Linked DNA regions of Ovis aries. Each later gene encodes a partner of the first gene's protein in a complex. Links are inferred from orthologs where the notes say so. Each region holds a gene or a part of one and is shown on either strand. Other genes may lie near its edges.

Region 1 (3,559 bases):
TGGATAAGGTGGTACCTGGGTGTGCATGTGACCTGGAGATGTGGGAAGCTGAGCGGCAGCAACATTCGGACTAACATTTCCATGCATTACGAAGCCTGGAGGTGGAGGATTTTCTCCCTAGGCAATGAGAATATGGTAAAAAGGAAGATTACCTTCAGAACCAAGAATCTTACCAGACGGATTTATAATCTCTGAAATGAAATTTTAAAAAAATCTTATGTAAAAAAAAAGTTACATTCTATGCATACTGATGTTTTCTGAGCAACACATTCTACTTGATTTAAAGATTAGACAGGTCCAAAGTAATAACAGTGATGAATGGCAAGAGATGCTAACAGCCTCATCAAATAGTATCGATGATATTTATAAAAAGTCACTAGGATTTTCCATCTCTACTAAATTCCATCCGTATCTAATGCTTTGGGAAGTAAGTATACATGCCACACGGGAATTTTTTTTTTTCTTCTTTGCAATGCTAAAAACAGGGGGGAAAAAAAGAAAAGAAGAAGAAAAGGAAAGGGAAAAAAATCTTCAGTGAAATTAGATTTAAACCATTGATAGAACCCTGGTTGATGTTTTTTTAGTTCAAGTTGTGCTAAAAACAAAACAAACAAACAAAAACAAACAAACAAAAACACCTGTTTCTTGCCTCCCAAAAGCACTAAAATGCAATAAGCAGACAAACAGATGGGGGTGGGAAACTCAAGGAAGGTGGGTAGAAGATACATAACTACATACATATTCAGGTGAGCAGAACTCTGCTCAAAGAGGGATAATGAAGGATATACCTGTGTGTCAGAGGGAGAGGCTGCAGGTGGATGGCTGGGAAGGGCGGTAGGAGTTTTGTTACTCCAGGTAGTGACAGTGGGGGCAATTCTAACCTGAATTGAACAAAGAAATACCAATCACAGAACATAAAAAAATGAAAATGTTAAAAGAAGAAGAAAAAAAAAAAATCCCTGAAGGCACTAACAGCCAGACGCAAAGCGAGAAAGCAGTGAGGCGGCAGCACACACTAGCCAGGCAACTGGTTTCAGGGCAGCTGGGATTCCAAAAGAAAACACAGTCTGAAGAGGACAGGCAGAGGGAGACAGCAGAAAAATCAATACGAAAACGAAATCAGAGCACAGAGAACAATGCCATTCAAGTGTCAGGAGTACGTGGGGAAAGGTACGTTCTGTAAGTAGGCAAAGAAAGAAGACATTCTGGGGGGTGGAGGTGGGCAGTTATTGAGGAAAAAAGTGATTTTTGAAGCTGTAATTGTATTCATGCTATGATTATATCTGTGGACATATTGCTGCTGTATGCTTCCCTTTTCAGGACTTCATTAGAGCTACAAAAATCATGTTAGTTCTGTATGAGGCTTAGAGTCATACAATCGGAGAATATTAAAGATCATCTCATCTAATTCCCACCATTTACCATGGAGATAAAAACAAGGCCCAGGGAAATGAAGGAGCTGGCTGAGGTCCAGACAACTTGGGGTGATGGAGCTAGAGCTGATTCCACATCTCCTGACTCCCAGCCAGTGTTCACTACACTGCACCGTGTTGCTTATACCCTGGAGTCCAGAGGCTTTCAAAATCAATTTTTAAAGCCATCAAAATAATTTTTGTCAAGTAAATCTTTGTAGAAACTCAATCACATCAACAATTAATAGCCAAGGTGTGCTGGTCGCAGTCAGAACTCCTGATCTGGCTTCCCTTTCATCCTTTTACTCCTGCTTGTAAGCCTGCCTTTAAAACCACAAGCCGGGAGAGAAAGGGCCAGCGCCCAGGCAGCCTGGTGGAGAAGCGAGCGCCGGGAGACCCCGGGGCTGTCGAAAAAAAAAATAATAATAATAAAACCACAAGCCACTGCCCTCATTCAGCACACCATAAGCTTTAATCAAGAAAAACTACTCTTAGTTTATGATTGAACTTGTTTTCCTTTTCTTAAAGTAGCGGACCACTAGGTCAAAGTATAACAAAAGTCTTTTAAGGTTTCCATATTTTCCCTGAAAGAGAGATAAACTCGAGGATTCAGGGAGTAAACTTGTATTCTCCCAAAGAAGATAATGCCTTACTTCAGTGCCCTGAGAGGTTGAACTCAAGGTGCTGAGCTGAGGAGTTCTAATCCTGTTAACTATTACCTAGCTGACAAATTGATGTCTTAAAATCCTGATTAGTGACTGCCTTCTCCACCACCTCTCAGCTTCCCAGCCATCACCTGACGTGCCCTCCCTATGTTACAGGCTTTCTAAGACTAGCAGTGAGAGTGGGGAATTTGTTGTTTTGCCTACCAACATACCCTCAACAGGGAGAATACAGGCAGGCGCTTAATTTGTATTTGTCAAATGAATCAAAAAAAAATCAAAGCAGAGTAGTACAGATAGTTATAATTATATTCAAATGTAACCAATCTTGATTAAGTACCAAGCAAAAGCATAACTGACAAAAAAGCATGAATCTTTTTCAGTTTTTACAGTTTTATGCTTACTTTTGCTACAACAAAATGTAAAAATGACTCCAACAATTCTACTAGCAATCTGTTCTATTTTAAAATGGGCAGAGTACCTGCTAACTTTGTTATAAAATCAAGACTATTTATTACTTCTGAAAATAAATTTTATTTAAGAACATGAAGGTTATCTGGCCTGGAAATACAAGTTTCTACATGGAATAGCAAAAGATAATAAGAGGCCCCATTTTATACCACTAACCATTTGCTAATTTTTATTTAAGAAATAAGTGAGTTAATTAATAAACACTTCGCACTGCCCATGACCTACAACTTCACAAACCTTTGGTCATTCGCTTTTCTCTTTACAAGTTGTTAAAAAAAACAACTTGGATTCTGCATACTCTATTGTGCTGATAATGAAGACACAGAACACCCACACTAGTGACTCAGAAAATATACCTTTAAAAAAGACTATTTTCTAAAAATGTTTTAAAAGAAAGTAACCAAGTCACCCACAAAATTGTTCCCACTTTACTTACAGTTTGTTAGATGAATCAAATTGTAAAAATTTTCAGACGTACATGTGCAATATGTTTGAGTGATGGAGAAATAAGAAATCTCCCTAGCTTAAATTAATTATATCTAATTTATCAATTATTTGACTAGATTAGAGGGATAATTTTAAAAAATGGATCATAAATGCTACTTTCAAGAATAGAAAAACTATAACCATTAAAACAGTATGTTGTCTATAGTTTCATCACAGGCCTTTTCCCCAACAAACTAAAACCACCAATGTGACATCCATAAACGTTCCTACTTAGTCTGGACCGCATCACTCACATGGGGATAATATTGTTGAGCTGGAACTCTTGGCATCTGTGCGTGGCCAGCAACAGGTCCAGGCCTGCTCTTGGGCACTTGATGCCTCTCATAAGGAATTTTGGGTGATTCCTGTTGTCCTGGTATTGGATCTCCTTGTGCTCTACAAAGTCTGTCTCGAAGCTGCACAATATTTGGCTATAAGAAGCAATGGAAGAAAGTCAAGCAAATTATTACAGAGTTCACCCAACTATATATGACATATTGATCTTAAAGTAAGCATGATCATCCCTAT
Region 2 (4,282 bases), on another chromosome or scaffold:
AGGATTAGTCAGCAAGTGATGTGAATGCTTTCAGTTTAGTTCAGTCGCTCAGTCATGTCCGACTCTGCGACCCCATGAATCGCAGCAAGCCAGGCCTCCCTGTCCATCACCAATTCCCGGAGTTCACTCAGATTCACGTCCATCGAGTCAGTGAATGCTTTAGGAGGATAAAACTAGAAAGCACTTGAATTCATTAAGTCATGAAAAAAGCCACATTGTTGAGGTTTGTAGAGTAATAATCTGTGTGAGTGCCCAAATCAGAATACTTTAATCTCTTTGAAGAGTTTAAAGAACTCTCCAGCATATGGTCTGGTGGTTAAAGGGGGCTGAGGACAATACAATTGGAGACTAACAACAGGTCAGATGCAGAGCCCTGGAAAATGAAAGTGGAGGTCGCTCAGCCGTGTCCAGCTCTTTGGGACCCCGTGGGCTATCCAGTCCATGGAATTCTCCAGGCCAGAATACTGGAGTGGGTAGCCTTTTCCTTCTCCGGGGGATCTTCCTAACCCAGGGATCAAACCCAGGCCTCTCTCATTGCAGGCGGATTCTTTACTAGCTGAGCTACAAGGGAAGCTCAAGAATACTGGAGTGGGTAGCCTATCCCTTCTCCAGCAGGTCTTCGGGACCCAGGAATCGAACCAGGGTCTTCTGCAGAGCTTTGGAGTGCTGAATAATGAAATCCCTTCAGGAAAGGAAGGATCAGGGGCTTCCCTGGTGCTCGGCCCTTCCACAAGCTAAGCAGGGGAGGAAGATGAACCAAGTCAGCGGGATTGCATCAGCAGCTCAACACTTTTGCGAGCCTGGAAGGCGGTGGGAGAGCCCTGAAGCTGGGCTTCCCTGCGCAGAGGGCGCTGCGGCTCAGTCGAAGTCCGGACGGAGGCGGTGGCGTCTTCAGCTGGCCGGAGGGACACGCTGGCCGCCCACCACGGTCAGCAGGGGACATCAGGGCCTGGTCACGCACGTGCAGACCGAGCTGGGGAGCTCCAGGCCCTGTCAGACGCCGGAGGGGGCGTCGTGTGGTACCGAGAAGAAAGCGGGTGTGGGGAAGGAACGCAGAGAAGCGGGGCAGGGGCCGGGCGAGGAGTCCGGAAAGCACAGGAGTCTGGCGCGTCCTCCGCTCCATCACCGCCCTTCCATGGCCTTCATTTGGTGCAAGGACAGTCCATGCTCGAAGGAACTGCCCCCGCCCTTCACGTCCACTCTGTGCCTCGGGAGAAGCAGCTCCCACGCGCGTCCGTGATCCTGGAGGCCGCGTGGCCTCGGCCAGCGGCTCCGAGCCTCTCGCTGGACCCTGACACGCTGGCCGGACGCGGGGGCGTTGCCTGGCAACGGGGCAGCGACGGGATTGGCCGCGCTCGCTCCCGTGACCGCCCCGGAAGTGGCGCGCCCGGCCTCGCCCTCGCCGAGGCGGAAGTGGAGCCACCTGACGCCGCCCGCTTCCCGGCCGCCCCTCAGCCGCACCTCCGCCCTGCTGCGCCTCGGCCCATGGCCAACTACCCGTACCGCCCGGGCCCCGGCGCCGGCCCTGCCGGGGGCGCCGCGCTGCCGGACCAGAGCTTCCTGTGGAACGTCTTCCAGAGGTGCGGCCAGCCGGGCGGGCGGGCGGGCGCGGGCAGGCCTCCCCTTCCCTCGGTGTCAGCCCCGGGCCTTCCCCGTCCTGCCCCTCCGCCCGCAGTCCAGCCTCCCTCCTGGAGCCCTGGCCCCCCGGCCTGCTCCGTCCCCCGAGCTTTGACCTCCTCTCCGCCCCCGGGCACTTCCGGAGCGCAGAGCGGCCGCCCGGAGGCTCGGCCTCCGTCCTTCTACCCCCAGAGAGGGGCCTTTGCTCGGGGACGAGGGTCTCCCGGGGACGCTTATTCAGTTAGGGGAGCAGAAACGCGGGCTCGCCGTGGCTGCCTCAGCCACCAGGCGGGAAGCCAGGCCCTGGCTGTGCGCAGGGGACCGTCACCGCAGTGTCTTCGGTACCCGGTCGTCCTTCCAGCGAATCGGCGCCCCATGCTAGAGTGATTCAAGGTCAGGGAGTGACTTAGTTGTCTAAGAGAACCTTTTCCTGTTTGTGAAAAGGACAAGATCTGAATGGCATTCAGACAGGGTGTGGGAGAAAGGCTTAAGAGAAACGGAGAAGCAGCTTGGCCTTCAGCAGGGGGACCTCAGACAGTGAAGGAGACAGGCTTGCTTATTCCCCACCCGACTATGGGAGTGAGATAGTCTAGCAGCCAGAGGGAAAAGAGCAGGGAAATTAATTTAGGATTGACAGGAGAGTTAAACCTTGGTTCTGGTCCTGTGTTGCTTTGCCTGCACTTTGAATCACCAGTTTAACTGATCTTAATTTTGTAGGGTTGATAAGGACAGGAGTGGTGTGATATCTGACAACGAGCTTCAGCAAGCACTGTCCAATGGTGAGTGCACCTGGCCGTCTGGACTTGTGAACTGCCCGCCTGACCACCCATAGTGAACATCTTCTTTCCTAATCCCTGGCTTGTGGTGGAGGGCTTCCATCCTGGGCGTCCTGTCGGAGCTGCTCTGGGTCCTTGCGGAGCTGGGTGGGGCAGCTGCATGGAGGTCCCAGGGAAAGCCTGAGAGTTGGAGGCTGGGGTGTGAGCTCCAGGAGCACAGGGAGCCTGGCTTTGTACAGCAGATGGTCCTCCGGTTTATTGAAGGCTGTTGAATTTCTCTGGTGACGGTGTCTTGTGACTTGCGAGGCGGGGCACCAGGGTCCCACTGACGCCGAGGAAGTAACTGGGAATGCCGGTGGCCCTGCAGCCGGGTCTCGGGGCTCAGGCTTTTCAGTGGGTGAGTGCAAGTCATCCAGACAGGGGCAAGAGGGTCCCAGCTCTTTGTGCCAGTTCTGGGGGCACACCTTGGAGTCACCTTTTTGCTGGTCTCAGTGTGATTAATCCATTGACGTGGAGACCTTATTTCAGTGAATACCTGACTGTGTTGCCCTTCTTTTGATTCGTCAGACACCACTGTCTTTTTCTGGTCCTTAGATTTGTGGTGTCTTCCAGAGGGGTGCCATTTAAACCTGAAGAGGGATTGATTTTAAGAGGTAATGACGATGCTGAAAGGCTCACCCTTACCAGCGGGAGCTGGCTGGTGCTGTGGGAGGTGGACGGTGCCTCCCAGGCCTGCGCGTGGACTGGAAGGGAGGTGTGCCCCACTGTGGGTACTCCTCTGCTGCTGTTGGTGAAGGGTTGGTATTAAAATGATCACACAGGTGATACTGTCTCTAGAGGATGTCAGACCTGCCGCCATTTCAGCTGGTTGTTAAAGCAAATGGCTCTGTCGGAACACAGCGTTGAACCAGGAGCCTGCTGGAGACGGAGTGTGTTTAACCCAGCCACTGAGTGTATATCAGGGCCTGCTCTGGTGACCCTGTGGAGTCACATTTCTTGATTTGCCCTGAGGGGTTCCTCGGCTTCTGTTGGGGCTGGGTGAGAGCTTACTGGTAGTCACTGAGCCCAGAGGGAGGTAGGGACTCCCTCCCCCCCCTGCCGTGGCTGCCTCTCTCCTCCCTGGGGGTGTGCTGGTTTTTGTGTGGAGCAGCTTGTGATGGTTGTTTTACCTGTTTTGTGTGTATCTTATAAACTGTGATTTTTTTTTAACCAATCGCATTTTCCTCTTTAAATTAGCTGCTAAAATTTTTAAATTTCTGCCTCACCAGTGCCGCAAGCTGAGAATTTTCAGAGGTGAATTTCACTGATAGTCGGGGACCCCATGCTTTCTTAGGCTTTTGTCCCCCCATCCTGCATAACCAGAGGTTGCTCTGTTTTGCTGTGCTCTGAATATCTTCCTAGATTCAATTAGGCTTTTTCTGCAGGAAGTCTGGTTATGAGTGGGTACCGATCGCTAGTCCTTTCTCAGCCCCAGAACAGAGGTAGGTGGCACACTGGAATCAGGATGTGTGCCCGCATAGCTAGGCACTCCCCCACACCTGGTGCCGTCCCACCCGCCTCCTCCCGTTGGCCACCTGAAGGCACAGGCTGGCTGTGGCTCTGCTCCTCCTGCCAGGGTGCCCACCATTCCTCCGGGGCTGAGCGGCTCCTGTCTCTGCACTCATGGCCCCTCCCTTTTCTTGGGTGCTGCCTGTCTCCTCCTCTCGCTCTGCTGGGGTCGTCTCTGCAGCTGCGTCTGGCTCCTGGGCCTCAGCGTCCTGGAGGAAGTTCGAGCCGGTCTCCTGTTTCCAGTTGTGCTGTGTGTCCCGGCCTCAGTCCCTGAGGATGGACACGAGTCAGTTCTCTTCCTGCTCTTCAAATTCCCAGAGTTGTTAAGATTGGAGTTACTT

Evidence for each region.
Region 2: the proteins of SEC31A (region 1) and PDCD6 are in contact, whole or in part, in a crystal structure (PDB 3WXA), measured with the Homo sapiens proteins. The link is inferred for Ovis aries from reciprocal best matches to the Homo sapiens genes SEC31A and PDCD6. Residues at the interface, in NP_001070675.1 of Homo sapiens: Asn837, Pro838, Pro839, Pro840, Pro841, Gly842, Phe843, Ile844, Met845; in NP_037364.1 of Homo sapiens: Val31, Val35, Leu48, Ala51, Leu52, Ser53, Asn54, Gly55, Thr56, Trp57, Phe85, Trp89, Ile92, Gln96, Phe99, Phe148.

What each region holds. Positions count from the first base shown.
Region 1 is NC_056059.1:98,378,480-98,382,038, forward strand, and holds part of SEC31A (protein transport protein Sec31A), read right to left. Parts: intron 3,463-3,559; coding exon 3,286-3,462; intron 882-3,285; coding exon 789-881; intron 118-788; coding exon 1-117. UniProt on the Homo sapiens protein: Component of the coat protein complex II (COPII) which promotes the formation of transport vesicles from the endoplasmic reticulum (ER).
Region 2 is NC_056069.1:71,839,048-71,843,329, reverse strand, and holds the start of PDCD6 (programmed cell death protein 6), read left to right. Parts: upstream 1-1,425; 5' UTR 1,426-1,485; coding exon 1,486-1,580; intron 1,581-2,334; coding exon 2,335-2,396; intron 2,397-2,987; exon of another isoform or gene 2,988-3,046; intron 3,047-4,282. UniProt on the Homo sapiens protein: Calcium sensor that plays a key role in processes such as endoplasmic reticulum (ER)-Golgi vesicular transport, endosomal biogenesis or membrane repair.